Stegostoma tigrinum: one gene and its partners. The protein of the gene in region 2 interacts with the protein of the main gene of each other region in a biochemical or structural test. Links are inferred from orthologs where the notes say so. Each region holds a gene or a part of one and is shown on either strand. Other genes may lie near its edges. The genes, in order: protein DBF4 homolog A-like, mcm2, cdc7 and chek1.

Region 1 (7,880 bases), on a different chromosome or scaffold from region 2:
CTTCCCAATTTTTATTCGAGTGGGAACAATTTCTTCATATCTAGTCTGTCCAGACCATTTATGGTTTTGAAACTTTCCATCAAATCTCCTTTTAGCTTTCTCCTCAGTGGAAACAGTGCCAACTTCAATAAATTATGTAGTTTCTTATCCTCTCAATCCATTCTTGTGCCTTTTCTGCATTCTCTGAGGTGTATTCACATCCTTCCTGAAGTGTGGCAAGTAGAATTGCACACAATACTCCAGCTAAAATCTAACTGGTCTTAGACGTTTGATGCAATATCACTGATCCTATAAAGCCTTGAATACTGTGCGCTTTATTATCTCGTCTCACCCTCATTTGCTACCATTATTTAGCAATACAAGTATACATCCACGTCTTAGTCCTCCTACACATGCTTTACAATACCATCCTCTTTTTTAAACTTTTTCTCTCCATGTTCTTTAAACCAAAATATATGACCTCTCATCTCTGTGCACTGAACTTATCTGTCACCTATGTCTCTATTCCACCAACTTGTCAATGTCCTTTGAAGCTTGATACTGTCCTCCTCACAACTTATAAGGCTTCCAAGTTTTTCACTGTCCGCAAACTTTGAAATGATTTCCTATATGTTAAGGTCTCAATCATTCATATAGGTCGAGAAAAGCAATGTCCAAAAAATGATGCCATTGAACTTCATTACAAATCATTCCCCCAGCCCAAGAAAAATCCATTAAACATTACTCTATATTTTCACTGTCTCTTTTATCAGGTGTGTTGTACGGTACTGCAGCAAGTTCCTTTTAGAAGTGCAGGCACACGATATCAGCACCATTATCCTCTCAAACATTGGTTCCCACACCAAAATAAAAATCCAGCAACTTACATAAATGCAATTTACCATTAAGAAATTCACCCTGGCTTTCCTTAATTAATTCTCATTTTTCAATATGACTATTAATTTTATGCCACATTTTTACTCGTCAAAGTCTCCCCCCTGCCAAAATTCAACTGGCTCAAAATGTACTTATAGTTGTATACCCTTTTTTTAAAGAAGTTTTTTGCGATTCCCAAAGTCCTCTGGTAGCACCAAGAGGCGCAGCAAGATAGTAGAAACTATGGCCGGTGCCACTGCAATTTCCACTCATTCTTCCTTCAGTATAATTGGATCCATGTCATCCTGTTTGGAGTCATGTCTGGTTTTTGTGCTGGTAGTTCAGATGGTTACCTAGGATAAACAATTTTGAACATTTCTGGCGACTAAATGTTCTCTTCTGGCACCATGCCCAGATAGCATCAGCTTCTTGCAAAAGGTATTTGCAAAGTATTCACTTAAAACCTCTACCATGTTTCCATCCATAAAATATTGCTTGTGAGCTCAGTTGGCTTGACAAATGACGTGAACATTGGGGATTTAATTTCTGCATCGGCTGAGGTTACAATGAATGTCCACTGAGGTACAGGGCACTGCAGGTGCTGGAGAATCCAAGATAACAAAGTGCGGAGCTGGATGAACACAGCAGGCCAAGCAGCATCTCAGGAGCACAAAAGCTTTTGGCCCGCTGTGTTCATCCAGCTCCACATTTTGTGACAATGAATGCCCTATCTCCTCAACCTCATCTGTCACCACTACCAGTGGTCTATCACTAATGGGAGAGCAGCTCTCTGGGACAATGGTGGCTTTACCTTTTACTCTCTTGGTCTCTCTCTCTTCTTACCATCCTTTCACAAATTATGTGCCCACAGAATAGCCTTTGGGATTTCTACTTATGTCAGCTGCCAGTCTTTGTTCAGAAACTCGTATATGTTATAATAATAAACTACATGCCTTGCTATAATGTCATAAAATAGAAATAATATTAAAATTATTCAGCATTTGCTCTCACGAATGGAGAGAAGATCTTTAACATTCTTGTGAAGTTTCTCTTTCGGCAAATCAGCGTACTTCTAAAGGCAGCGATGACTCAATGACAAAACTTGCATTGTATAACCTTCACAATCACGATATCGAGCAAAAAAATTGTAGTTTTGTTAAAGTACTGAAGCAATCTTTCAGAAACTACAGCGTGTAGCGACTAAATAAACTTTTATTTGTGATCCTTAACGAGGAATTGGCCAAAGTAAACACGGCTACTCTTAGATGCCCTAAAATCACTCAATTCCATCTGAGACAGCAGGACAGAGATTGGGTTAGAAACCTCCGAATGTTCCTGCGAAAGGAAAATGTGGACATATATTTGCGAAGGGCAAACTGTACGAGGGTGAGAGATTTGGGCGGGGGCGGGGGGATGAGAGAAAGCTCTTTTCAAGAGCCAGCCCAGGGGACGATGGGCGAGTGACCTCCTTCTCGAAGAATCCTCGCGCCAGAAACAAAAAAGTTAAACTAGTACAAGTAAACACCGTTGGATGGAAGCATTAAGGTTATTTCCCCTCGCCCCCAAAGTGCTCCTTTAAACGTTGGGGTCGATGCGGGTCTAGCACAGAGCGGTTCCCGAATAACGCAGTTGCCGCCATCTCCTTTAAACGGCGCCTCGCGGTTATCAATTAGCTCCCGGCCTGGAGCACTCACCGGCAGCACTTCCTTCCTCCAGTCGCCTTTCTTTCTCTCTCTCCCCCTCCCTCGCTTTCTCCTCCACTCAATTTTCACTCTACCCTTTTTTTTCCTTTTTCCCGCCGGTCGCGCAATGGCAGCGATCTAAGTAAAACCATCCCCATTACCGGTTCCGCACTTTCCACACGCACCACGTGCGCTGGGTTCCGACGAAAGCATCGATTAAATCCAGCGCCTCGCTAACGAAGTGAAAACACGAAGGGGAGGTTCGCGCGGAGTAGCCAGTGGTCATCCGCGGAACAGAAAGCGGGGTTGCTCGAGGTGGATCAAATGGCGAATGTGCCGGCAGTCGACAGGAGAAGGTGCGTCTTTCGATCCCGGGTACGCGTCGTCACCGCCAGTGGCCGCTCGGCACGTCCCGGGCTCAGGCTGCGGTAATGAACCGGGACCAAGGCCCCTGGCTGAGAGAGTGACAGTTTCCGAGCACGTGTGAGAGAGGCTGATGTGGGTGGGGGCTGGTGTGGAGATGGTCATCCCAGCTCATACCCCACAGTCTCTTTCTATCTCATAGAAACAACACCACCCCCCACCCACCCTCCACAGTCTGATGATCACCTTGAACCAGTAAGCAACTCCTCCTGCCATCGGTTTATTAACCAGCCCAAAGGTGAGGCACTCATTCAGCTCCTTATTCTAGTTGCTGCCCGAGAGTCGTTGAGGCGAAACAGTGAGTACGGTGAAATTCTTTTCCCACCTTCGTCTTCCCTCTCACACTCGGTTTGATTCAGTTAACGTTATGCAACTACTTGTTTTTTGTTATTTCACCGTTGTTGGAGTTGGAAGAAATACACTGTTTACCGTCCTCCGGCTCGCTTATGAAATGAGATTTACCTGAGTGGTATTTCAGTTTAAGACTGAAGTATTTTTCATTAAGTTTTTAATCTTTCCAGTTACAAAAATCTAATATAAAATAGATGCTGCTTGACCTGCTGTGTTCATCCAGCTCCACACTTTGTTATCTCTTTCTCTTGACGTATGGGAATGCTTGCTTATGCCGCAATTTTAAGCATATAGGTTTGAAATTGGGTACGTTTATCAAATGGCAGAAAAATGCAATAACATTTACAACCTCAATTGGATATTTTTGCCTCCTAAGTTTGGGGATCCATTTCATTTTACAAATTATACAGATCTGCAGTTACATAAATGATTGTGTTAAGCTATTCTGGTTTATTGAAGCTGAGACAATTTAAAGTACAATTTTGGGTGTGTGATTTTGTGAATCTATTTTGATAACAAAATATGTTAGCTTTTTCACTACCCAACATGTGCAGGATGATAAAGTGAGCTGCAGCACCCATTTTGTTTTTACATTTATATTCAATGAATACAGTTTAATTTTGTATTGTATTGCCGTGACGGGTATTTTAACTATGCAGTGGTTACTGTTTCTATCTTTGTTCCTGCAGCATTGCTTGAGTGTTGTCATGTTGCAGGGAAAACTTTCCGTTCATAAAACATCATATCTTTTAGAAACAGCTCAATAGTTTATATGGCAGTACTTGTAGTAAACCTTTTTTCAGTTGACGTATTTGAATATCACAACCATAAACTGATCATAACTTAATTGGTTATATATGAGATAACAAGGTGTAGAGCTGGATGAACACAGCAGGCCAAGCAGCATCTTGGACCAGGAAAGCTGACGTTTCGGGCCTAGACCCTTACTAAGATGTTGCTTGGCCTGCTGTGTTCATCCAGCTCCACACCTTGTTATCTCGGATTTCCCAGCTTCTGCAGTTCCTATTATCTCTGATTTATACATGTGGCCTGATTAGATGTCTTTTTCCTTATCTGCTTTTCAATGTGACAGTTGCACTGTTGCATAACATTGCATCAGTTTAAATTGTACAGACTAGTAAAAGGGCAGTGAAGTGATCAAAAGAATTAAGTTCAGCATTGACATTTAGTCTTGAGGTGTACTTGGCCTACAGTTATACATGTTAAATTTCATTTTATTTAACTTTTTAGACTTGGTTTAGTCTTCATTCAGTGTTGCTCAACATGAGTTAAAGGACTAGCACTTTTCCTTTTAGTTGGGCATTTTAAAGATTTTTGGACTTTGATGTTTAAATATTTTTAGCTTTTAGACATTGCTTATTTTTTTCAGTGATTTTCTTGTATTCAAAGCATGTTAGCTTATGCTTTGTTAAGGTGCACCTACTCTTGTTTTACATAAACGTTTAATCCTCGGACCCATTTACAACTTTCGGCACTTGGGTTTCACGGATTTTTTCTGTCTCTAATTTGTTCTCACTCTCACATAATGCATTTTACATATCTGTAGCTTCAGTGTCATTTCTCGGGAAGAGGGTCATTACAACCTGCCAGTTGGGAGCTTCCATATCCGAGTTAAGTGAACTTAGATATCAGGTTTCAAAGCATTGCTCACCTTATTCAGCTTAAAATGTTGTAATCTTAAAGAACACCTGCAAGCCGATGCTTTCAACATCATTTTGTTTAGAATATTACACTAAGATTTATCATTATCAGCCCCTCAAAACGAGGATAACTGTCCCAGGGCCCAGGCTGCATGACTTTGTGTCCTATGCTCACTGCACTAACCAATGAAGGCAAGCGTATCAAGTACCTGCTTCACCACCCTACCTACTTGTGACTCCACTTTCAAGGATTAATGAACCTACGTCCCTAGGTCTTTTGATTCAGCAGCACTCCCTCGGACCTATCAATTAAGTGTACAACGCCTGCCCTGATTTGCCTTAGCAAAATGCAATACCTCACATTTATCTAAATAAAACTCCATCTGCCACCCCTCATCTGATGATCATCTGATCAAGATTCTGTTTTACTGTGAGGTAACCTGAGGTGCAGGTTCATGGTTCCTTGAAAGGGGAATCACAGGTAGACAGGGTTTGGTACGCTTGCCTTTATTGGTCAGTGCTTTGAGAATAGGAGTTGGGATGTCATGTTCCATTTATGTAGGGCATTGATTTGGCCACTTTTGGAATACTGCGTTCAATTCTGGTCTCCTTGCTGTAGGACGGATATTGTAAAACTTGAGAGGGTTTGGAAAAGATTTACAAGGATGTTGCCAAGAGCTGGAGGGTTAAGATACAGGGATCAGCTGAATAGGCTGGGGCTATTTTCCCTGGAATGTTGGAGGTTGGGAGGTGACATTTTATAAGAGGCTTATAAAATTATGGGGGGGTGGAGGGGCATGGATGGGGTGAAAAGCCAAAGTCTTTTTCCCCAGAGTAGAGGAGTCCAAAATTAGAGGACATAGGTTTAAGGTGAGCAGGTAAAGATTTAAAAGGGATGTAAGGGGCAACTTTTTCATGTACAAGGTGGTGTGTATATGGAATGAACTGCCAGATTAAGTTGTAGTCTGGTATAATTATAACATTTTAAAAGCATCTGGACAGGTACATCAGTAGGAAAGGTTTTAGGGGCTGTGGGTCAAATGCTGACAAATGGGCCTAGTTTAATTTAGAATATCTGGCGTGGAACAGTTGGACCGAAGGGTCTGTTTCTGTGCTGTACAACTCTGACTCTAGCGCATTGGAGAAGCCTCACCCAATGTAGTAATCACTGTCAGAAATTAACTGCAAACAGAGTAGCAACAGAAGTGGAATGTGGGAGACAGTAAAACCTTGACTTGAAAGCCCATCTTGTTCAGGCAACCTGTGCCCTCTCTGCCCAAAGATCTGTGGCAGGGGGAATTTGCCTCCTGACTCAGCTGAACATATTTAAACTGAGAAAAGTTAATAAGCAAACTGTAGTCTAATTTAAATAGTTAATGTTGTGAACATTAAATCTATGACAAATTTATTGGTTTTGCTGATAGAACATTGCCATGAATTCTGTGCAGCATTACTACAACAGCACAAGGTCACTTGGGAAAGACTTTCAGAGTTGTGCACATGTCACGGTACAGATATTTTCATATCACTAAGGTCACCTTGCTTGTTGATTATTCTGCCAAAGTAGAAGACCTGCTTTTCAGCAAGAGTAAGTGGATCTTCGTTTATCTTTTGAAACCGTTCTTTGTTACCTGTAAGGAAACTTTAATGTTCATGAACAGTTACAGCTTCAATATTCATGAAGTAAGTTGATTTTTTTTTGTTTGACTAAAATAGGCAGGTTTTCACCAACAATTCCTATACCTGTTGCTTCAATGATCCCATTTTAAGAAGGTTGACACTGGCAGTAAGCACAAGGATTGCTTTGTTTGAAGGTTGTTACAAGAGATTACACTGATTCAAATGTTGAATCTACTCCAGCCAGCAAACATTTCTGATTAGCCTGTGAAGGTTATGAAGTAACTTTTTAAAAAATCACTCAGGGTGTGGGCTTTGCTGGCTGGACATCCATTTATAGCTCATTTGAAATACATTCACTGTGCTGCTAGAGAGGGAGTTCCAGGATTTTGACCCTGTGGCACTGAAAAAAGCAGCAATATGTTTACAAGCCAGGATGGTGAGCACCTTGGATCTTGTAGGTGGTGATGTTCTCATTTATTTGCTACCATTGTCTTACTTATGGTAGTGGTCCTATGTATGAAAAGTGCTGAAGAAGAATGGTATTTTTGTACAGTGCATCCTGTAGATGGTACACACTGCTGCTACTGAGTGTCTGTGAGGAGGAAATTAAAGTTTGTGGAAGTGATGCTAATCAAATGGGATGGGTTTTGAGTGTAACTGGAGAATTGCACTTACACAAGCAATTGGATGATTTATGCCATAAAGATAGTGGACAGGGTACAGGTAATGAGGAGGTAAATTACTTGCACATCCACCACCACATCATTACCACCAAGTCAGAGTTCTGGTAATGATGTGGTGGTGGATTTGGTTATAGATTCTGTTTGAGTCCCTTTCTGCTGCTGCTGAAGGCCCAGAGGACCTAATAGATGTCCAACCTCAAGTTGCTAGATCTAGTTGGAAACTGTCCCATTTAGCATGGTGGTAGTGCTACATAATACAGTATGAAGACAGGACTTTGTCTTTATGGAAACCCTGCCATAGTTATCCCTACTCATACTGTCATAGACAGATATGAGCGTGACAGACACGTTGGCGAGGATGAAGTATCTGAGGCATGGTTTGTCAGTTATTATTCCATGAGTATGACTATGTCAAGCAAATGTTGACTAGCAAATGAGACAGGGTATACGCTGCTGCCATAGATGCCAGTGTTGGAGGAAGTGATTGTTTCACTGGTAGACATGGTGCTGATTAACGGCGTTGCTTTGCTTTGTTTCGGATGTTGCTTATGGGGGATTCAGCAATGGTTATGTCATTTAATGGCACTGGTAAAAGGTTAAACTCA
Region 2 (7,564 bases):
TCAGAAAAGATTTACCAGGATGTTGCCAGGAATGGAGGGTTTGAGATTACAAAATTGACTGGAAAGGTTGGTACTTTTTTCAATGGATCATAGAAGGTTTATAAAATCATTAGGGGCATTGATAAAGTAAATGTCACAGTTTTTTTCCCTAGGGAGGGGGTGTTCAAAACTAGGGGCAATATTTTTAAGGTGAGAGGAGAAAGATTTAAAAAGGACATGTGGGCAACTTTTCTTTTACACAGACAGTGGTTTGTGTGTATGTGGACTGAACTGTCAGAGGAAGTGGTGAATGTAGGTACAGTTACAATGTTCAGAATACATTTGGATAAGTTCAGGAATAGGAAAGGTTTGGAGAAATATGGGCCAAGCACAGGAGTTGGGATTAGTTTAATTTGGGAATATGGTCATTGTGGGCTAGTTGGATCAAAGGGTCTGCTTCCATGCTGTGTGACTCTATAAACTCTAAATGGACTAAGGAATGGCAGATGGAGTTTAACGCAGATAAATTTGAGGTGTACTCTGGAAAGGGTGCAAGAAAGATTTTAAGGGTATTACTGAGACTGGAGGGTTTGAGTTATATGGAGAGACTGGATAGGCTGGGACTACTTTCCTTTGAGCAGAGAAGGCAGTGGGTTGGCCTTATAGAGGGTTATAAAATCATGAGGGGCATAGATAAGTTGAATAGCCAAGGGTATCTGCGACCAAAACCAGCAGGCATTATTTTGGAGTATATTTGTAGCTCGGGTTGTGGGTGTTTGAGGTTGGTTGGCTCACCGAGCTGGTTTGTTGTTCTGCTGATGTTTCATTACCGTGCTTGGGTAACATCCTCAGTGCAGCCTCTGATGGAGCATCAGTGTGTTTTCCCGCCTGGCTTTTAAACTCTGTGGACCATTGCGATGGATTGCCTCACTTCTGGGTTTCCTCCATAGTGGAATGTATATGGGGTGTTTATTAATAGCCTGCTACGTGGAGTGCTATGCTTCCAGGAATTCTCGTGTTTGTCTCTACCTAGCCTGTCCCAGGATCTTGGTGTTGTCCCAGTTGAAGTCGTGGTTCTCCTTGTCCATGTGGATTGAGACGAATGAGTAACCAAGCATGGTAACGAAACGTCTGTGGAACGACAAACCAGCTCGGCGAGCCAACCAACCTCAATAGCAGGCATAGTTTTACGGTGACAGGGTAAAGATTTAAAATGGGGGGCAACTTTTTCACAGTGGGTGGTGAGTACATGGAACAAGCTGCCAGAGGAAGTGGTAGGGGTGAATACAATTACTATATTTAAAAGACATTTGAATGAGTACATGGATAAGAAAGGTCGAGAAGGATATTGGTCAAATGAAGGCAAATGGGACTAGTTCAATTTAAGAAGTCTGGTTGGCACAGATAAGTTGCACCAAAGGGTCTGTTTCTGTGCTGACTCTCAAGGTTAACAGGCAGGTAAAGTTGGCAGTTAGGAAGTCAAATGCAATGCTTCCATTCATTTCAAGAGGGCTAGAATGCAAGAACAGAAACGTGCTGCTGAGCCAATTTCGAGAGTCTGGTCAGACCACATTTAGAATATTGTCAGCAGTTTTGGGCGATGTATTTTAAGGAAGGATATTATTCACTGATTGTCTTGTATATCGAAATGCAGTGAAATGCTTTGTTTATGAGCGCTAGAGGCAGATGACAGCAAGCAAAGGATGTACAGATCAAAAAGACTTAAAGGCATACAGGTTACATTGCAGGTTACATTATTTAGGGCATCTTCATTATTTGAGGCCAGAGTCCATTCAACAATCTGAGTACGTGACAAAGTTGATTGATGAGGGAAAGGCTGTAGATGTCATATACATGGACTTCAGTAAGGCATTTGATAAGGTTCCCCATGGCAGGCTGATGGAGAAAGTGAAGTCACATGGGGTCCAGGGTGTGCTAGCTAGATGGATAAAAAACTGGCTGGGCAACAGGAGACAGAGGGTAGTAGTACAAGGGAGTTTCTCAAATTGGAGACCTGTAACCAGTGGTGTTTCACAGGGATCTGTGCTGGGACCACTGTTGTTTGTGATATATGTAAATGATCTGGAGGAAGGTGTAGGTGGTCTGATCAGCAAGTTTGCTGATGACACTAAGATTGGTGGAGTAGCTGATAGTGAAGGGGACTGTCAGAAATTACAGCAGAATATAGATAGACTGGAGAGTTGGGCAGATAAATGGCAGATGGAGTTCAATCCGGGCAAATGCGAGGTGATGCATTTTGGAAGATCAAATTCAAGGGCAAACTATACAGTAAATGGAAAAGTCCTAGGGAAAATTGATGAACAGAGGGACCTGGGTGTTCGGGTCCATGGTTCCCTGAAGGTGACAATGCAGGTCAATAGGGTGGTCAAGAAGGCATATGGCATGCTTTCCTTCATTGGGCGGAGTATTGAGTACAAGAGTTGGCAGGTCATGTTGCAGTTGTTTAGGACTTTGGTTCGGCCACATTTGGAGTACTGTGTACAGTTCTGGTCACCACATTACCAAAAGGATGTGGATGCTTTGGAGAGGGTGCAGAGGAGGTTCACCAGGATGTTGCCTGGTATGGAGGGTGCTAGCTATGAAGAGGGGTTGAATAGATTAGGATTATTTTCATTAGAAAGACGGAGATTGAGGGGGGACCTGATTGAGGTCTACAAAATCATGAGGGGTATAGACAGGGTGAATAGCAAAAAGCTTTTTCCCAGGGTGGGGGACTCAGTTACTAGGGGTCATGAGTTCAAAGTGAGAGGAGGAAAGTTTAGGGGAGATATGCGTGGCAAGTTCTTTACACAGAGGGTGGTGGGTGCCTGGAACGCGTTGCCAGCAGAGGTGGTAGACGCAGACACGTTAGCGTCTTTTAAGATATATTTGGACAGGTACATGGATGGGCAGAGAGCAAATGGACAGAGACCGTTAGAAAATAGATGACAGGTTAGACAGAGGATCTTGATCGGCGCAGGCTTGGAGGGCCGATGTTCCTGTGCTGTAGGTTTCTTTGTTTCTTTGTACTGTAGGGGGCTGAGGATGCATCCTTGGTGGGGTGGGGGAGGACTCCAGAGTTGAGGGTTATTGTGGAGGAGGTGCAGTTACCTATCCTCACTGATTGTGACCTATGGGTCAGAAAGCTGAGGATCCAGTCGCAGAGTGCTGAGCTGATGCCAAGATCACGCAGTTTTGAGATCAGTCTGGAGAGGACAATGGTGTTGAAGGCGGACATTTAGTCAACGAGCACAAGTCTGATGTAGGTTTCTTTATTGTCCAGGAGCTCCAGGGATGAGTGCAGGGCTAGGGATACGGCATCTTCTGTGGACCTGTTATGTTGGTAGGCAAATTGTAGGGATTTGAGGCAAGTTTGGAGACTGGAGTTGATGTGAGCCATGACCAGCCTCTCAAAGTACTTCATGATTATTGAAGACAGCAAATGGGTGATAGTCACTGCACACACACTGCATGTGTTCTCTTGGATACAGGGATGAGAGTGGTCTTCTTGAAGCAGGTGGGGACTTTGGCTTGTAGGAGGCAGAGGGAGGGAGTCCAGAGGAGGTTTACAAAAATGATCCTGGGATGAGGAGTTGTCAAGAGTTTAGAAGGGTTGGGTGGAATGGGAACCTCATCTAAACTTCCAGAATCCAGTGGTCTGGATAGAGTGGACATACTTCCACTAATAGGACAGGCTAAAATGCAAGTATAACAGCAGAGTGAAAGAAACAACCCTTTAGAACAGAGATGGAGGAATTTCTTCAGCCAGAGGGTGGTAAATCTGTGGAACTCATTGCTCCACAGAGCTGTGTAGGTCAAGTTGTTCAGTATATTTAAGATAGAGCTAGATCAGTTCTTGGTTAGTAAGGCGATCAAGAGTGAGAAGGCAGGAAAATGGGGTTGAGAATCATATCGGCCATGATCAAATGGTGGAACAGAGTCGATGGGCCTCCTATATCCTGTGGTCTTCTCTTAAGGACATTAGTGAGCCAGTTGGGTTCTCTTGGCAATGGTTATCCTCAGATTCTTAATCCCAAATTCTTTAAAATTGAACTCAAATTGCACTATCATGCATGACAAGATTTGGACCTACGTGCTGAATACGCTACCTGGGTCTCTGGTGTATTAGCCCAACAATGCGGCCCTCATCCAATAGTATTATCCCATTCCTGTGCTTTTTTAAAAATGGTCTCCTTTACAATTTGGAGACGGTCCCTAAATGTAGGGTTGATTGACGTGTGGGCCAGCCAATCCGCGAGAGGTCAGGTCCTAACGGACACCACCTACAGCCAATCACAAGCACGAGGGGCGGAATCTGAACCGCCAATCCATTCGGGAACTCAGCGTCTCTTTCCAATGTGAGCATCAGTAGCGCCCCGTCGAGAAATAATTGATGAACACCATTCCCTACAGGCTCCAGGCCGCAGACCGCGATGTTTAAATAGCAATACGTACGCCTCGTCTTCAATCGATCCATGACCCGTTACAGCCGGCGATGTCTGATGCTGTGCGCCGATGACGCAGTGCTCATTGACATGCATGGGGCCGCGGTGACGTAGAACACACGACTGGGTTTTGGCGCGAATCGGAGTCAGGTGGGTGGTTTTGGCGCGAAAAGGGGTTTAGTCCGTTTGTCGGTGAGGAGCCGGAGAGAAGGAGGCAATGGCGGTGAGTGGAAGAGAATGAGGGAGGTGTTTCTGGAGTGGGGTTAGGGGAAAGCTGCAGCTAAGAGCCCGTCAGATAAAACACTGAGGGGAAAAGTGGTTTGTGATGTTCCTCACATCCCGACCTCCGGCGTGATGATAAGTGGTAGGAGGCTCAGAGAGATCCTGAAGGGGTTGTTGTTTGTTTATATCGCACATGGAATGAGGGCGTCACTGCATTTATTGCCCATCCCCAACTGCCCAGAGGGTCAGTTGAGAACCATCCGCTTTGCTCTGGGTCTGGAGTCACATGTAGGCCAGAGATGGTTTGAGGTCCGCGAATCCCCGAAGGCAGCAGGACCGGTCAATAGGGTAGTTCAGAAGGCCCTCGGGCAACTTAGCCAAGACGTTGAATATGAGAGTGGGGAGGTTATCGTCGGTGTATAGTACTTTGGTTAGGCCACAGCCGGAGCCCTGTGTGTAGTTGCGGTCACCACATTACAGGAAGATGTGATTGCACCGGAGTGGGTGAAGAAGAAATTCACCAGGATGTTGCCTGGGATGGATCATAGAGTTGTACAACGTGGAAACAGACCCTTTAGTCCAACTCTTCTGCTCCGACCAGATATCCCAATCTGACGTAGCCCCATTTGGCCCTTGTCCCTGTAAACCCTTCCTATTCATGTACCCATCCAGATGCATTTTAAATGTTGTAATTGTACCAGCCTCCACCGCTTCCCCTGGCAGCTCATTCTGTACACACACAATCCTAAGCATGAAAAAGTTGCTCCTTAGTTCCCTTTAAATCTTTCCCCCTCTCACCTGGACCCATGCCCTCTACATTTGCAGCCCCCTAACCTGGGGAGAAAAAGGGAGGCTGGATAGCGTCAGCTTGTTTCCTTTAGAGCAGAGAAGGTGGTGGGGTTTGGAGGGTGTGCGGAACCTGTACTGTAAACAAGTGCTGGCGATCGCAGTATTCACGGAGAGACAGCAAGCTAACGTTTCAAGTCGAGATGACTCTGATGAAGTGTCAGATTCCTTCATCTGCTGTAATTTGCACCGGGGCGGGTGCGGGGGGGAATGTGATTGAGTGGTGTAAGATTGAGGGATACAAACAGGGTAGGTAGATATCAGCTGTTTCCCTGAGTTGAAGGGTCAACAGCAAAGGGACATAATTTTAATTCGTAAGGTAGAAGGTTTACAGGGATTCGAGGAAAGCAAGCTCAGAGGCTTTTTTTTGGGGCGGGGGAAGGTGTCTGCAATGCACTGCCAGGGAGGGTAGTTGACATGGGAAATATCTCAACCTTTAGAATGTATTTGGGTGAGCATTTGAAATTCCTTAACATTCAAAGTTGTCGGTCTAATGCTGAAAATGAGACCAGTGTTTTTTTTCGAGCGGTTTTTGTTGATGTAGTCATGATGGGTCAAGGACATGCTTCTGTACTGTATGATACTACATTAGAAGGGTATGTGATCCCGCGGTCACCTACTCATTCAAATTGTGACCTAGACCCCATTCTGTTTCATTGCTGCAGTGCTGTGAGGTGCAAAGTTAGCCCCACCAACCCCTTTCCTGATTGAAATGCCCATTCGTTTTGTCACTGAACCTGGGTCAGAATGTTCCAGATAATTTAAATGCTAGCTATAAATATCGTAACACATCTTTTTAAAAACTGGCAGAACTGCAGTTGTTGGAAATTAAAAACAAAAACGTCACTGGCCACAAAATGTTAATTCTGCTTTCTCTCCGCAGATGTTGCCAGACCTGTTGAGTTTTTCCTGCAATTTCTAATTTTATTATCTTTCCCAAATTCCCTGAACCTAATCTCACCCAACTTCTTGCAACAATGCTACCCACTGTTCCCAATTCCTTCGCCTCCACCGCATCTGGTCCCACGGTGAGGCATTCCACTCCCAGACATCCCAGATGTCCTTGTTTGTCAAGGACCACAAATCCCACCCCCCATGGTCAAAAATGCCCCCTACTGCATCTTTTACATTCCTGCACCTCAGCCCTCACACCCCCTTCCCGCAATGACAACAAAGACAGAATCCCCCTTACTCTGATATATCACCCCCATCAACCTCTGAAGTCAAAGCATCATTCTCTGCTAATTCTGCCACCTGCAATCTGGCCCCATACCAAGACTATATTTCCCTCCTCACCCTTATCTGCCTTCCAGGACTGCTCTCTCTGTGACTCCCTTGTCTGCTGTATGCTCCCCACTAGCCCTGTTAGGTTTGTTCCATTAACTTCTCAGCCCCACCACCCCCAACACCTTTCCCTGCAACCGCAGAAGGTGCTACACCTGCCCCCACACCCCCACACCCTACCACATTAGCGGATGAGCAGGTGAACATCTGTTTGATGTGGTATATTGTATCCGCTGTTCCTGACGTGGCTACCCCTACATCAGGGAAACCAAGCAGAAGCTTGGAGACTGCTTTGTGGAGCACCTGTACTCGGTTTGTGACAAACAGCAACACCTCCGAGTCGCGATCCACTTCAACTCCCCCTCCCACTCCTTGGACGACATGTCCATCCTGGGCCTCCTCCAGTGCCACACGGATGCCACCAAAATCTGGACGAACAGCATCTCATATTACGCCTGGGAACCCTACAACCGATTCGTCTCAATGTGGACTTTACAAGCTTCAAAATCTCCCCACCCCCGACCTAATCCCAAGACCAGCACCCCCCTCTCGTTTGCATCTCCTTGACCTGTCCATCTTTTCTCCACCTATCTGCTGTACTCTCTATTTTCTATCATTGCCTCCCCGTCTCTCTTTATTTCTTCCCCTTCCCCACCATTTTTGAATCAAGGTACAGACCTGAAACGTCAGCTTTTCTGCTCCTCTGATACTGCCTGACCTGCTGTGTTCATCCAGCTCCACATCTTCTTGTTATCCCCCTAAGTTAACTGAGTTCCAGTGGTCTTGCT
Region 3 (8,005 bases), on a different chromosome or scaffold from region 2:
TGGTTGTTCAACATCCAGAAGGTTCTCAGCATCACAGGTGTCAGTCTTCAGCCAATTTGATTCATTCTCCATGTGATATGTAAGAAATGGCTGCAGGCATTAGAGACTGCAAAGGATTATGGTCCCTGACAACATTTTAGCCAAAGTACAAGACAAATGCTCCAGAACTTAGCACAACCCTAGCAAGCTGTTCCTATGCCGTTACAATATTGGCAGCTACTCGATAATATAGAAAACTGATAGGAATGTCCTATACGCACAAACATAGGACAAATCCAATCTGAACAATTACTGCTTCATCAGTCCACTCTTCCTCAACATTAAATTGATGAAAATTATCATCAACAGTGCCCTCAAGCAGCATTAGTTATAACCTGCTCAATGACACTCAGTTTGGGTTCCACAAGGACCACTGAGTTCATGGCCTTCTTCTAGCCACTGTCCAAAATGGACAAGACCTGAAGTCCAGAGGCAAGGAGAGCCTTAGGCATTCGAGAGTGGAATCCTGGGAACCCACCAAAACTGGAATCAATGAGAATCCTGTGTGGGGAGGGGTTGAACTCTTCACTCTTGCGATTATACCTGGTACAAATGTTGGTGGTTGAGATGGAGTGTGTCAAGTCATTTCATCTTCTGGACTTCTCTGAGTGAGTCAAAAACCTGGAACTCCACCCCTTATAGCATTGCGTGTTTACTGATATTTTCGGCCTCTCCCTTTCTTGAATTGAGGTGTTACATCTGCAAACTTTCAATGTGACGGAACAGGAATTTAGGATTTTAGATTGCATAACCAATGCAGCTACCATCTCTGCAGCCATTTTGTTTAAAACCCACAGAACATACGATCCAGTCCAATGGACTTGTCAGGCTTTAATTCTAGTTGTTTCCCATTACCTCTTAGTGAGTGTGATTGCTTTAAGTTTCTCTGATGTGTTTACATCTTGATTTTCAACTGCTGTTTTTTTGTTTTCGAATGTGAGAACGGACAAAATAAACTGTTTGATGTTTTCACCAGCTCGGTATTTTAATATTAATAATTCCACTGTCTTGCCCTCCAAGGGAGGTACAGTCACTTAAGTATTTTTAATAGAGTTTCTACAAATATTAACAATCTGCTTTTAAGAGGTTTAGTTAGCTTTCTCTCGTTTGAGATTTTGTCCTTGCTGCTTTTTCAAAGCAAAACACATTTTACCAAAGCTTTTCATTTTGTTGTTATCAGGACAATTAACACCACCAAAACCAAGGCAAAACAATATTTATACTGCGTGAGGAGTGCTGATGGCTAAGCAAGTAGCAACTGATATATTGAACCACTGCCATGGGAAATGCATAAGTTAATAACGATCAACAGTTATGTGCCAGCTTTGTTTAAATTTTAGCCAGAAGGGTTGACTCTGATTGGTTAAGACACTACCCTTAGAAAAGGAATTAGAGAATGACTGTCAATATTTTGTTGCTGACACAGGGGCAGTGAGTGCAAGTATTTTGTCTACCATGAATAGGATCCTGTGTATCAATAATATATAGCTCCAGTATATGCCAATCCTATGTTGGTTGTCAGCATAAGGAACAATAATGACGAAAACTGCATTCCCCAAAACGGCTTGCCATGCAGTGCTTCAGTCAGTCTGTTCATTTATCTTGCATACCCCTCCTCTCTAGTCCACAGAAGCTTGGAGAACCCACAGGACAATAGTGTCCATGCCTCAACCAGACTCCACTGGCTGGAAAGCACTTTGTGACTTCTAGTGTTTATGGTTGGCACTACAAAAATGCAAATTTGCACTTCAACTGAGTGACCTGTATTCAGCAATGTTGATTTGACTGATAAAGGTCAGAAAAAAACCAGGGTAGCTCTTGGGTCTGGTCCAGAAGCGGAGGAGGGATATTCTTTCAATGAAAAAGGACCAGACTATCCAATTTATTTCTACGCTTCTTGAGATAACTCGAGAGGCCATTATCCCGTCACCAACTAACACCTGAATCACACATAAAGTGTCCTTGACACTGAACCAGCTTCCTCAGAGCCAATTGAGTGGACAGAACCTCAGCCAGGACTCCCTGATGGAGACTCGTTCAATTACAACATTTAAAAGGCATCTGGATGGGCAGGAAGGGCTTAGAGGGATATGGGCCAAACGGGAGTGGATTTATTTGGGACTACTGGTCAGCATAGATGAATTGAACCAAAGGGTATGCTTCCATACTGTACAACTCTACAACTGGACCAGATTAACAGCCTCAATTAGGGAACTCATATTCTATGAAGTCAATCTGGCACTCCTCAACTCAATCACCACAATCATGTCAACAGGTTACTGAAGAGTTCATTGTTTTGACCATCCAAAATATCAAAGCAAAACCCTCACATAAAATTTTGGTGATTAAACCCCAAAACCTTCATCCAAATTTGTTATTGCCCACTGACACTGAAGAACAAAATTGATGCAATACTGAACTCTTATGGAAGGCTAGCCATGGGAAATTGCCCATAGCATCTAGGGATGTGCAGTGTTTCAGGGATTAGGTGAGTGGGGTGCTAGGTCTGGCTGGGATGGTCTTCAGGAGGTTAGTATGGACTCGATGGGCCGAATGGCCTGCTTCCACACTGCAAAGGGTGCTAATGACTGTATAATCATTAATTAATTAATAAGCCAAAATAAACAGCTTGACACGCCCATATGTAATTCTGCCTCATTTTAACCTGATGTTTATTTGAATTTGTCAGATGTTTATGATCATCTTTTGTGTTAAACGGAGGAATTTGCTTCACTTCAAAGGAGGCCACATTCAAGCCCCGGACTGCGTGAGTCCTCCCGAGATAAACCACGTCCCATTATCTCTCTCTCCAACCACGTTAGACACCGTTCTTACCGAAGAAAAGTGGACACCGAAAACCGATTCCGGAGCGGCAAACCCGCCGACACCCAGCCCCACAGACACAGAAACGGAGAGAGCGCCAACAAAATGCCCGCCGAAAGTAACTCCGCCCCGCAGCGTAAGAGAACCGACACCTCCCCGCCGCGCGGCTCACTGACACAACCTACCCCGGACCCTGGATAACTGATACACCCCGCCCCGCACCGCGGCTCACTGACACAACCTACCCCGGGCCCTGGATAACCGATACACCCCGCCCCGCACCGCGGCTCACTGACACAACCTACCCCGGGCCCTGGATAACCGATACACCCCGCCCCGCACTGCCGCAAAAAATAACAGACACACCCGGCCCCGGGCCGAGGAATAACACATACGTTCCGCCCCGGACCGCGGATAATTGATACTCTCCACCCAGCCCCCTCCAATAATTAACCCCTGGTCCTGGAAGGCACCAGAGGTGCAGGAAGGCTGATGTTTCGGGCTTAGAACCTTATTCAGAAATGAGCTCGTCCCCGCCTCCCTAACCTGTTGTTCCTCTCACCTATCCCCTCCTTCCACATCAAGCCGCATCTCCATTTCCTACCTACTAACCTCATCCCGTCCCCTTGACCTGTTTGTCCACCCCAAACTGAACTATCTCCTCCCTACGTATACTCTGCTCTCCACCCATCTTCTCCTCTATGCATCTTTGGTCCACCTCGCCCCTCTCCCTATTTATTCCAGAACCCTCACCCCATCCCCCATTTCTAATGAAGGGTCTAGGCCCGAAACGTCAGCTTTTGTGCTCCTGAGATGCTGCTGGGCCTGCTGTGTTCATCCAGCCTCACATTTTATTATCTTGGATTCTCCAGCATCTGCAGTTCCCATTATCTCTATTCACACACGGGACACTGGATAACTGACCATTGGATAACTATCCCAGACCTTGCAGAAGTGAAAACTTCCTGCCCCAGGCCCTGAATAACTGACATCTCCTTGTCCCAGACCCTGAATCATTGCCCTCAAACCCCTACCCACCTTACCTTCCCTGAACATGGATAACTGCCACCTCTCCAGCCAAGCCCCTGGATAATTGACACCACCCTGCCCAGACCCTGTATAATCAACACTACCCCAACCTGGAGAAGTGGATAACCAATACACCACACTGGACTCTGGATAACTAACATCTCCCCCGCCCCAGACTATGGACAGCCAACATCTCCCCTTACCTGGTTCCTGGATAACCAATACATCCCCCCCGGACCATGAATAATTTACAATTCCCCAACCATGGATACCAGACACATCCTATCCCAGGTCTTGGAAAGCAGACACTACCCCATCCAAGACCATGGATAATTTACACATTTCTCGCCCTGAACCCCGGATACCTCCCTGCTCCAGACCCTGGATAACTGTCATCTTCTCACCCTGGACCCTGGATAATTAAACAAAAAAAGCCAAAGAACAATACGACACAGGAACAGGCCCTTCGGCCATCCAAGCTTCTGCTGACATAATTTGCCCTTACATACTAAAATTGTCATCACTTACAGGATCCATATCTCTCTATTCCCCTCCATTCATGTAATCATCCAGGTAATTCTTGAAAGCTGCTATTGAGTCTGCTTCCACCACCTCCTCTGGCAGTGCAATCCAGGCACTCACCACCCTTTGTGCGAAAAACTTGCCTCGCACATATCTTTTAAACATCGTGCCCCCATCCCCACTTCAACTTGAATCTGTGTCCTCTATTAATTGACTCCCCCATCCTGGGGAAAAAACCTCATACATTCCACTCTACCCATGCCACTTGGAACCTTAAAAACTTCTGTCAGGTCACCCCTCAACCTCGTGCATTCCAGTGAAAACAAATCCAGTCTATCCAACCTTTCTTCATAGCTAAAATCCCCCAGACCAGGCAACATCCTGGAAAACTTTTTCTGTACCCTTTCCAAAGCATCCACGCCCTTCTAGCAGTGTGACCAGAACTGTACGCAATATTCCAAGTGCGGCCTAACTGAAGTTCTACAAAGCTGCGGCATAACATCTATCTTATGACTCAATGCCCCTTCCAATGAAGACAAGCATGCTAATAAGCCTTCTTTACCACCTTATCTACCTGCTCTACTGCTTTCAATGATCTTCGGACCAGACATCTCTGCATATCAGTACTCCGAAGGGTTCTGCCATTCAATGTATAATTCCCGCCTGTACTTGACCTTCCATAATGCATCACCTCACATTTGTTCAGATTAAACTCCATCTGCCATTTTCTGCCCACGCCTCCAAATGATCTACATCCTGCTGCATCCTCTGACAATCCTCCTCGTATCTGCAACACCACCAATGTTTGTATCATAAAACCATACTGTCTATTGCTAATAAGTTTGTTTGCTTCTGACTGTGTATAAATCTTCTCCCTGAGAACCTTTTCCAATAATTTCCCCAACACCGACGTGTGACTCACAGGTCTGTAATTTCTGGGGTTATTTCTGTTACCCTTCTTAAACAATGGAACATTGGCTATCCTTCAGTCCTCTCAGGCTTCAGCTGTGGCCAAAGAGGATACAAAGATGTCTGCCAATCTTTCAGCAATTTGTTCACTTGCTTCCTTCAATATTCTGAGAATTGTCAACTCTCTACCCTGAACCCTGTATAATTGACACTCCCAACTCAGGACTGTAGATTACCCACACATCCCTGCCTCGGACCCTGGATAACCAACACCTACTCACCACAGATCACACACACCTTCCCCACCCTTACCCTAGGTAAGCACACGTTCCATCCCCTAACCCTGGGTAACTGACACAGTTCCCATTACCTCCCCTTTACGTCTCCATCCTGTCCCTGAATAACCCAACCTCCCAATTCTAACTCTGGATAACACATATCTCCTTGGTGTGGGCCTTGGATAAAGTCATAGAGATTTACAGCATCAAAACAGATTCTTCAGTCTGACTTGTCCATGTCAACCAGATATCCTAGATAAATCCAGTTCCATTTGCCAGCATTTGGTCCACATCTTGCAACCCTTCCTACTCATATACCCATCCAGATGCCTTTTAAATGTTGTAATTGTACCTGCCTCCACCACTTCCTCTGGCAGCTTATTCCATACACGCACCACCCTCTGCATGAAAAAGTTGCCCCTTAGGTCCATTTCAAATCTTTCCCCTCTCACCTTAAACATATGCCCTCTAGTTTTGGACACCATAACCCTGGGGAAAAGACCTTGTCTTTTCACCCTATTCATGCCCCTCATGATTTTAAAAACCTCTATAAGGTTACCCCTTAGCCTCTGATGCTGTAGGGAAAATAACCTCAGACCATTCAGCCTCACTTTATTAGATTAGATTCCCTACAGTGTGGAAACAGGACCTTTGGCCCAACAAGTCCACACCGCCCCTTGCAGCAACCCACCCAGACCCATCCCCCTATAACCCACACACACCTGAACACTACGGGCAATTTAGCATGGCTGATCCACCCAGCCTGCACATCTTTGTGACTGTGGGAGGAAACCGGAGCACCCGGAGGAAACCCACGCAGACACAGGGAGAATGTGTAAATTCAGCATAGACAGTTACCCGAGGCTGGAATCGAACCTGGATCCCTGGCACTGTGAGGCTGCAGTGCTAACCACTGAGCCACTGTGCCACCCTCGATCACTCAAAACATCCAACCCTGGCAACATTCTTGCAAATCTTTTCAGAACCCTTTCAAATTTCACCCACAGATCCCTACCCCTAGTCATTGGATAACAGATGCCTCCCACTCCATCTCTGTATAACCTGCACTTCCTACTCTGGACCCTGCACAACCCGCACCTCTTGTCCCAGACTCGATAAGTCAGACCCTGCCCCAAAGTATGGGTAACTGATACCACCCCACCAAGGACTCTGGATAACTACCATCTCCCCACCCAGGGCTCTTGAATTCTCATATCCATACTTAAGGAAGGATGTGGAGGAAATGTAACAAATGTTTACCAGACTGATTCCTGGGAAAGCGGTCTGAACCAATGGTTGGAGTCTAAGGATAGACCGTTTAGAAATGAGATGAGCAGAATGTATTCAGAGAGAGTGGTGAGCTTGTGGAGTTCTCTGCAACAGAAAGTGGCTGAAGTCAAAACATTGAATGATTCCAAGATTGAGGTAGGTTTGCTTTTCAAGTGGTCAAATGTTAGTAGGAGAAAGTGAGGATCATGTTGAAAGTGTGATCATGTTGAATGGCAGAACAGGCTCAAAGGACCAAATGGCATACTCCTGTTCCTATTTTCAATGTTTCCATGAACAACCATCACCTCTTGGCCTGGAAACCCTTTCCCTCTGCCTCACACTCTCAGTACCACTGTCCATCCTGGAACCTGGATAACGCTACTGTCAATTGTCATACCACCTTCAAAAGTCTTAATTATCCAAATTACATTCCAGTCTAAATTCCTGAAAAGCAAGCACTGGGCCCAATACAACATCATCTGGAGATCCTGGAAATCTGAAACCAGAAAATGCTGGAGAAACTCAACAGGTCTGGTGGCATCTGTAGAGAGGAAGGCAGAGTGGTGTTGCACATGCAATGACCCCTCATCAGAACTGAACTGGGCCGACTGGAGATACCTTGAATCATTCTATTCAGAATTGCTATGACACTTGAACCCAAACCTCCTGGCTCAGACATAGGAACATTACCACTGTACCACAAAAGCCCTACAGAACCAACTGAAAACAATCTTTCAGTAACACAAAACACCTGCTAATTATTACACTTCTGACCGAATCCGTTTGGTTGCTCCCATTGAGACAAGTCTGCATCCACCTTGCAGTCTTTCCGTGGATGCTGTAAGGTTTTAATTTTCTTAACCAATCCACTCTGTTGGAACTTGTCAAATGTCTTGTTAAAATCAGTGTAGACTACATCAAACAGGCAACAACCATCACCACTTCTCATTACCTGTATTAAAGTAAAAGCAATGAAGTCAGACTGCATGGACTTCTGTGTACAAGGCCTTGCTGATTATCTTTGATCTATAACTCATTAAACTAAAATACATATTGTCCCTCAGAATTTTTCCAAGAATGTTCCCATCACCAAGGAAGGCTGACTGGTCTGTCATTATATTATTTCAAACAACAAT
Region 4 (7,667 bases), on a different chromosome or scaffold from region 2:
AGAATTTATATGTGGAGAGATTATTGCAAAATAGGTAATTGTGAGTGTCAGAAGACAGTACAAATAGTGTGAATAGAGTGTCTAAAGGCTGAATGGCAAGTCTTTGCAGGTGATCAAAAGTGTCAAATGGTGTAAGTAAAGTGTCAGTAGCTGAATGGCAAGTGAAGGGATGACCTATGACCCGATTAATTAAGGCAGAGAGATAGCAACAAAAAAAAATCAAAACATAAGATGGTGCTAGAGACAAACCAAATGGCTGGAATAACATGATTGGTATAAGAGCGGCAAGATAAGGCGCTAGATCAGTTTAGGATATCTGGTCAGCACGAATGAGTTGGAACAGGAATGGCGGTGGGGAGGGGGTGGTGGTGTGGAGGGTGGGTCCTGTTTCTGTGCTGTATAACTCTATGTCTGTGACTATGACTTAAAATGAGACATGAATATAATGTGGTCATGTTTAGTAATCACATAAAATTTACCATGCTGAGTTCATGCAGTTACAGAGACCGGATTGTTGAATGCCAATTGGGAAGACTACAGATAAACTGAAGTTATTAAGTACGTGTCAATGGAAACAGTTTTAACAGGCTGCTTAAGTAACCTTTGCTGATGTATTATGCAACATCCTCAAAGTTGTTTTGGAGTCAATAGCTGTGCAGTGTCAAATTCTGCTCCCTGCCAATTTCACCAGCTCCTCCTAGATTTCTCTGGCATCACTTTCTGCCTCATTCAGTAAACAGCAACCCATTAAAAACAAGATGAACTCACATCACCCTCTTCCGACAAGCGCCTGCACTCAAGGAACTCGTTCCCCAGAATGCAGCACTTCCTCTTGAACTCACATGACCTCCCTTGCTACAAGTGACAGAAGAGTTCACTGATGCTGTACTGGGTTCGACTGAGTGAATGAACTCACTTCACCCTGGTGAAGTCAGCCAGTGAACTCGTCTCACCCGTGCCCACAATCCTTCACTGCAGACCTCCCAGACCACACTCGTGGCTGCATCATCACATTCTTGGCACAGCAGAGACAAAACGAAATCAGAACTGAGCACTAATGGGTCTGGCAAGATGCGACTGTGGGATCACATTACAAACATTGAAGGTAACTTAAATGTTGCCTTTGATTCTCAAACACGCCATTGTGCTATTTGAATAAAGGTAGCTTTGACTTTGTTTTATAAAGTAACTGTTTAGCAATGATTGCAATATATCAGTCTTCTGCGTAATTTAAAAATAAACAACTTTGTATTAATTTTCAGAAGTTTATTGCTGATCTTGAGCGTTCAATGAGTGGTAAATAGAATTTGGATTTCTACACAGCCTCTCACATTCGTGGGATACTCTGAATCCCTGCAATTACTGCTGAAGTACAGCCAGTGGTTTTTCTTTACAGGTAATTGCAGTAAACAAATTGTGCAAAGCATGACCCCAATGACAGCAACAATAGAACCAGTTAATCATTTCTGACTGTGTTTCTGGATGGAGGAACTTTAGGTTAGACATGAGAACTCCTTACTCTTTGAACAGTGCTGTATGATTTTCAGGCTCCACTTAAATTCATCCAAAAGATGGCACTAATGACAATTCAGCCCCACTGCAGCACTGCACTGAGTTGTTGCTGTAGAGTGTACACGAGATAAAAGTGATGCCGATGGAGGTAACTGCCATCCCACATCTGCCTAGCACCCTAATCCCATGCTTTCCTCCATATTTACCCTTTCGCGAAAGCTGTGATAGGGGCTGGGTCTGCTGCTAATGATTAAATCTCAGAACACATTCACTGACTGTTGCAAAATGAAGGTGTAGATTCCACAATGATTCTCTTTACCAGTGGATTCATAGATTCCTGGTCAGGCTCATCACATAAAGCAGATAACAGTACAGCTGAGGAACACGACCTTTGGTCCACCATTTCTGTGCCAACCATAATGCCATTCCAAACTAATCCCATCTGTTTGCACATGGTCTGTAACCCTCCATTCCCTGCCTGTTCATGTGTTTGTCTAAAAGCCTTTCAACTGTTGCTATCATATCTTCTTTTACCAACTCCCCTGGCAATGTGTTCCAATCACCGCCTGCATGGAAAACTTAACTCGCACATCTCCTTTAAACTTTTCTCGTCTCACCTTAAACCTATGCCCCTTGTACTTGAAATTTCCACCCTGAGAAAAAGGCTCTGACTATCCACCCTATCCAGGCGTCTCATAATTTTATATTATTCTAGCAGGTAGAAGCCTCTGACACTCGAGTGAAAACAATTCCAATTTGTCCAACCTCTCCTTTTGACTCATACATGCCAATCCAGGCGATATCCTGGTAAATCTCTTTTACACCCTCTCCGAGTCTAAAACAGGAGGTTCCTCCCCAGCAGTCTTCAGTGCAGAAATCATCTAAGGTATGTGAGGAATTTTTAATGCAATCAAGGCTGGAAGTAGGATTTCTCACACTGGTTGGAAAATCTGTGCTAAAACTCTTAATTAGGTGAAATGTAGGAAGGTCCCTGATAGGGCAGGAAACATGAGCCTTGAAATAATAAAAGAGTTGGTGGGGCAGGGCTAAAAGGAATGGTAAGTCCATAACCTGATTTCACCTTCTATAAATTAACAGTGTTACATTCTCAACTCTTCCCAGTCCTAATGAAAGGTCGTCATCCTAAAAAAATTGGGCTGGATTTTCATGGAGTTAGGGATACTCCACAAAGGAATACGCATGACAACAAGAATCCATTTCCAGAATTCCTGGCCATATTCCAGCACCAAGAATTTTTACCAATGTCTCTTAAGGACAGATGGGCCTGCACTTCTGGCCTTCTCAACTGCATAAGTGATATTGGAATGCCTTGGTCTACACCAATTTCAATGGATCCATCCTCAATTTAAAGGTCTCAAGGTTCTTTAGTAGATTTGTAGCTTGGGTTGTGGATGCTGTGGTTGGTTCACTCGCCAATTTGGTTAATTGGTTGGCAGACGTTTTGTTACCCTGCCGGGTAACATCATCAGTGCAGCCTCCGATGAAGTGCTGTCATGTTTCTCACTTTGTATTTAAACTCTGGGGTCCGTTGGATTTGATTACCCCATTTCTGGTTTTCCTTCACAGCGGTCTATGTATAGGGTCTATATGTGAACACCAACTAGCAACAAAAGGACACGACCAAAAAATACTCACTCATCTCCTTTCACATGGACAAGGAGAACAACCAGTTCGATTGGGACAACACCAGGATCCTAGGACAAGCTGAACAGACAGAAGAACGGGAATTCCTAGAGGCCTAGTTCTCCACCAAGAAGGCCATCAACAAGTGCATAAAACGGGACCATATACACACATCACTGCAAAGGAAAACCGGAAACGAGGTAATCAAATCCACATTTCCCAGAGTTTAAATACCATACAGGAAAACACAACAGCGCTTCATCAGAGGCTGCATTGTTGATGTTACCCAGCAGGGTAGAAGAAACATCCACAAACTAACAAACCATATCAGCGAGAGAACCAACCACAGCATTAAAGGAATGGGTTTACATCAGAACATTGTGACACATTGTCTGGATGAGGGAACTCATTTTCACAATGCCACTATCAGACTAAAATTCTCTGACCAGGCCTGCAACACCCTCTATGCCAAGTCCCAGAACATGAGGAGAGCCATTCAAACAGTGTGTCCTGTGCCCCAGCAGCACCTATGGCTTTATCAGAACTGTCTGATGCCCGTAGCCTTTACTCTTTTTTTTGACAAGAATTAGATTAGATTCCCTACAGTGTTGAAATAGGCCCTTTGGCCCAACTGCCCCTTGGAGCATCCCACCCAGACCCATCCACTATAACCCACACACCCCCGAACACTACAGGCAATTTAGCATGGCCAATCCACTGAGGCTGCACATCTGTGGGAGGAAACTGGAGCACCTGGAGGAAACCCAGGCAGACACAGGGAGAACATGCAAACTCCACACAGACAGTTGCCCGAGGCTGGATTTGAACCTGGGTCCCTGGCGCTGTGAAGCTGCAGTGCTAACCACTGATCCACCCAGCTGGCAACTCTTGTTAGCATCCAGTGGCTGCACTCAGTTGGAAAACAGTGTATTGGTCCTACCTCTGAATGCAGTCACATTGAGCTGGGGAATCTGAGATAATGGGAACTGCAGATGCTGGAGAATTCCAATATAATAACGTGTGAGGCTGGATGAACACAGCAGGCCAAGCAGCATCTCAGGAGCACAAAAGCTGACGTTACGGGCCTAGACCCTTCAACAGAGAGGGGTATGGGGAGAGGGTTCTGGAATAAATAGGGAGAGAGGGGGAGGCGGAACTGGGGAATCTCATGGCTCCCGCTCCTCTGATCCATGCACATGAAATGCGATTCAGTAATTCTGTTCTTGCTCCATTGATGCATTCCTGCCCTCTGAAAGTTATCAACATCCTCTGCTCATATTTACAATTTTGTTGCAATTAAACTGAATAACTATCCACCTAATTTCCAATTCGATGTGATGAAGTGACCCTGGTCTACCACACGATCAAATCCAGCTGCAGTCGCTGTGTCACTAACCCATTCAGAACAGCGCCAGCTTTGAAACTCCCGCCCGCGCTGACGGCACCGCCAGCCTCAAGCCCCCAGCAGCGCGGTGACGTCATTGCAACGTGTTGACGTTCGCAAGGCGCGAAAATCCATGGGAAGAGCGTTACGCAGAGAGAGTGAGTGTGAAAGACGGAGAGAGAAAGATGGGGGAATGAGTGAGTGAGAGAGAGAGAGGGAGATGGGGGAACAATTCAGTGTGTGTGTGTGGAAGAGAGGTGGGGGAATGGGGTGAGAGAGAGAGAGATGGGGGAATGAGTTGCTGTGTGTGTGAGAGAGAGAGAGATTTTGGAATGAATGAGTGTGTGTGTGTGTGAGAGAGTGTGATGGAGGAATGAGTGACTGTGTCTGAGAGAGAGAGAGATGGGGGAATGAGTGACTGTGTCTGAGAGAGAGAGATGGGGGAATGAGTGACTGTGTCTGAGAGAGAGAGATGGGGGAATGAGTGACTGTGTGTGTGAGAGAGTGTGATGGAGGAATGAGTGACTGTGTCTGAGAGAGAGAGATGGGGGAATGAGTGACTGTGTGTGTGAGAGAGAGAGATGGGGGAATGAGTGACTGTGTGTGTGAGAGAGAGAGATGGGGGAATGAGTGACTGTGTCTGAGAGAGAGAGATGGGGGAATGAGTGACTGTGTGTGTGAGAGAGAGAGATGGGGGAATGGGTGACTGTGTGTGAGAGAGAGAGATGGGGGAATGAGTGACTGTGTGTGTGTGAGAGAGAGAGATGGGGGAATGAGTGACTGTGTCTGAGAGAGAGAGATGGGGGAATGAGTGACTGTGTGTGAGAGAGAGAGATGGGGGAATGAGTGACTGTGTCTGAGAGAGAGAGAGATGCGGGAATGAGTGACTGTGTGTGTGAGAGAGAGAGATGGGGGAATGAGTGACTGTGTGTGTGAGAGAGAGAGATGGGGGAATGAGTGACTGTGTGTGTGAGAGAGAGAGATGGGGGAATGAGTGACTGTGTGTGTGAGAGAGAGAGATGGGGGAATGAGTGACTGTGTGTGTGAGAGAGAGAGATGGGGGAATGAGTGACTGTGTGTGTGAGAGAGAGAGATGGGGGAATGAGTGACTGTGTGTGTGAGAGAGAGAGATGGGGGAATGAGTGACTGTGTGTGTGAGAGAGAGAGATGGGGGAATGAGTGACTGTGTGTGTGAGAGAGAGAGATGGGGGAATGAGTGACTGTGTGTGTGAGAGAGAGAGATGGGGGAATGAGTGACTGTGTGTGAGAGAGAGAGATGGGGGAATGAGTGACTGTGTGTGTGAGAGAGAGAGATGGGGGAATGAGTGACTGTGTGTGTGAGAGAGAGAGATGGGGGAATGAGTGACTGTGTGTGTGAGAGAGAGAGATGGGGGAATGAGTGACTGTGTGTGAGAGAGAGAGATGGGGGAATGAGTGACTGTGTGTGTGAGAGAGAGAGATGGGGGAATGAGTGACTGTGTGTGTGAGAGAGAGAGATGGGGGAATGAGTGACTGTGTGTGTGAGAGAGAGAGATGGGGGAATGAGTGACTGTGTGTGAGAGAGAGAGATGGGGGAATGAGTGACTGTGTGTGTGAGAGAGAGAGATGGGGGAATGAGTGACTGTGTGTGTGAGAGAGAGAGATGGGGGAATGAGTGACTGTGTGTGTGAGAGAGAGAGATGGGGGAATGAGTGACTGTGTGTGTGAGAGAGAGAGATGGGGGAATGAGTGACTGTGTGTGTGAGAGAGAGAGATGGGGGAATGAGTGACTGTGTGTGAGAGAGAGAGAGAGAGAGAGAGAGATGGGGGAATGAGTGACTGTGTGTGTGAGAGAGAGAGAGAGATGGGGGAATGAGTGACTGTGTGTGTGTCTGAGAGAGAGAGAGATGGGGGAATGAGTGACTGTGTGTGTGTCTGAGAGAGAGAGAGATGGGGGAATGAGTGACTGTGTGTGTGTGAGAGAGAGAGAGAGAGATGGGGGAATGAGTGACTGTATGTGTGTGTGAGAGAGAGAGAGAGATGGGGGAATGAGTGACTGTATGTGTGTGTGAGAGAGAGAGAGAGATGGGGGAATGAGTGACTGTATGTGTGTGTGAGAGAGAGAGAGAGATGGGGGAATGAGTGACTGTATGTGTGTGTGAGAGAGAGAGAGAGATGGGGGAATGAGTGACTGTATGTGTGTGTGAGAGAGAGAGAGAGATGGGGGAATGAGTGACTGTATGTGTGTGTGAGAGAGAGAGAGAGATGGGGGAATGAGTGACTGTATGTGTGTGTGAGAGAGAGAGAGAGATGGGGGAATGAGTGACTGTATGTGTGTGTGAGAGAGAGAGAGAGATGGGGGAATGAGTGACTGTATGTGTGTGTGAGAGAGAGAGAGAGATGGGGGAATGAGTGACTGTATGTGTGTGTGAGAGAGAGAGAGAGATGGGGGAATGAGTGACTGTATGTGTGTGTGAGAGAGAGAGAGAGATGGGGGAATGAGTGACTGTATGTGTGTGTGAGAGAGAGAGAGAGATGGGGGAATGAGTGACTGTATGTGTGTGTGAGAGAGATGGGGGAATGAGTGACTGTATGTGTGTGTGAGAGAGAGAGAGAGATGGGGGAATGAGTGACTGTATGTGTGTGTGAGAGAGAGAGAGAGATGGGGGAATGAGTGACTGTATGTGTGTGTGAGAGAGAGAGAGAGATGGGGGAATGAGTGACTGTATGTGTGTGTGAGAGAGAGACAGATGGGGGAAATGAGTGACTGTGTGTGTGTGTCTGAGAGAGAGAGAGATGGGGGAATGAGCAACTGTGTGTGTGAGAGAGAGCGATGGGGGAGATGAGTGACTGTGTCAGAGAGAGATGGGGGATTGATTGACTGTGTGTCTGTGTGTGTGAGAGAAGATGGCGGAATGAGTGACTGTGAGAGAGAGAGAGAGAGAGAGAGAGAGATGGGGGAATCAGTTGCTGTGTGTGTGTGAGAGGGAGAGATGGCGGAATGAGTGACTGTGTCTGAGAGAGAGATGGGGGATTGATTGACTGTGTGCGTGTGTGTGTCTGTGTGTGTGAGAGAGAGATGGGGGAATGAGTGACTGTGTGAGAGAGAGAAAGATTGGGGGAATGAGTGACTGTGTCTGAGAGAGAG

The links.
Region 1: of the proteins of mcm2 (region 2) and protein DBF4 homolog A-like, one has a biochemical effect on the other in vitro, tested with the Homo sapiens proteins (3 studies listed by BioGRID). The link is inferred for Stegostoma tigrinum from reciprocal best matches to the Homo sapiens genes MCM2 and DBF4.
Region 3: of the proteins of mcm2 (region 2) and cdc7, one has a biochemical effect on the other in vitro, tested with the Homo sapiens proteins (8 studies listed by BioGRID). The link is inferred for Stegostoma tigrinum from reciprocal best matches to the Homo sapiens genes MCM2 and CDC7.
Region 4: the proteins of mcm2 (region 2) and chek1 form a complex in vitro, tested with the Homo sapiens proteins (2 studies listed by BioGRID, with this or other methods). The link is inferred for Stegostoma tigrinum from reciprocal best matches to the Homo sapiens genes MCM2 and CHEK1.

What each region holds. Positions count from the first base shown.
Region 1 is NC_081355.1:113,236,984-113,244,863, reverse strand, and holds the start of protein DBF4 homolog A-like, read right to left. Parts: upstream 3,008-7,880; 5' UTR 2,894-3,007; coding exon of another isoform or gene 2,862-2,893; 5' UTR 2,699-2,861; intron 2,681-2,698; exon of another isoform or gene 2,550-2,680; intron 1-2,549. Other genes in the region: probable mitochondrial glutathione transporter SLC25A40, read left to right, coding at 2,862-2,893. UniProt on the Homo sapiens protein: Regulatory subunit for CDC7 which activates its kinase activity thereby playing a central role in DNA replication and cell proliferation. Required for progression of S phase.
Region 2 is NC_081364.1:5,791,564-5,799,127, reverse strand, and holds the start of mcm2 (DNA replication licensing factor MCM2), read left to right. Parts: upstream 1-4,556; 5' UTR 4,557-4,641; coding exon 4,642-4,647; intron 4,648-7,564. UniProt on the Homo sapiens protein: Acts as a component of the MCM2-7 complex (MCM complex) which is the replicative helicase essential for 'once per cell cycle' DNA replication initiation and elongation in eukaryotic cells.
Region 3 is NC_081361.1:87,370,799-87,378,803, forward strand, and holds the start of cdc7 (cell division cycle 7-related protein kinase), read right to left. Parts: upstream 3,009-8,005; 5' UTR 2,875-3,008; intron 1-2,874. UniProt on the Homo sapiens protein: Kinase involved in initiation of DNA replication. Phosphorylates critical substrates that regulate the G1/S phase transition and initiation of DNA replication, such as MCM proteins and CLASPIN.
Region 4 is NC_081385.1:31,882,216-31,889,882, forward strand, and holds the start of chek1 (serine/threonine-protein kinase Chk1), read left to right. Parts: upstream 1-4,651; 5' UTR 4,652-4,698; intron 4,699-4,712; exon of another isoform or gene 4,713-4,737; intron 4,738-7,667. UniProt on the Homo sapiens protein: Serine/threonine-protein kinase which is required for checkpoint-mediated cell cycle arrest and activation of DNA repair in response to the presence of DNA damage or unreplicated DNA.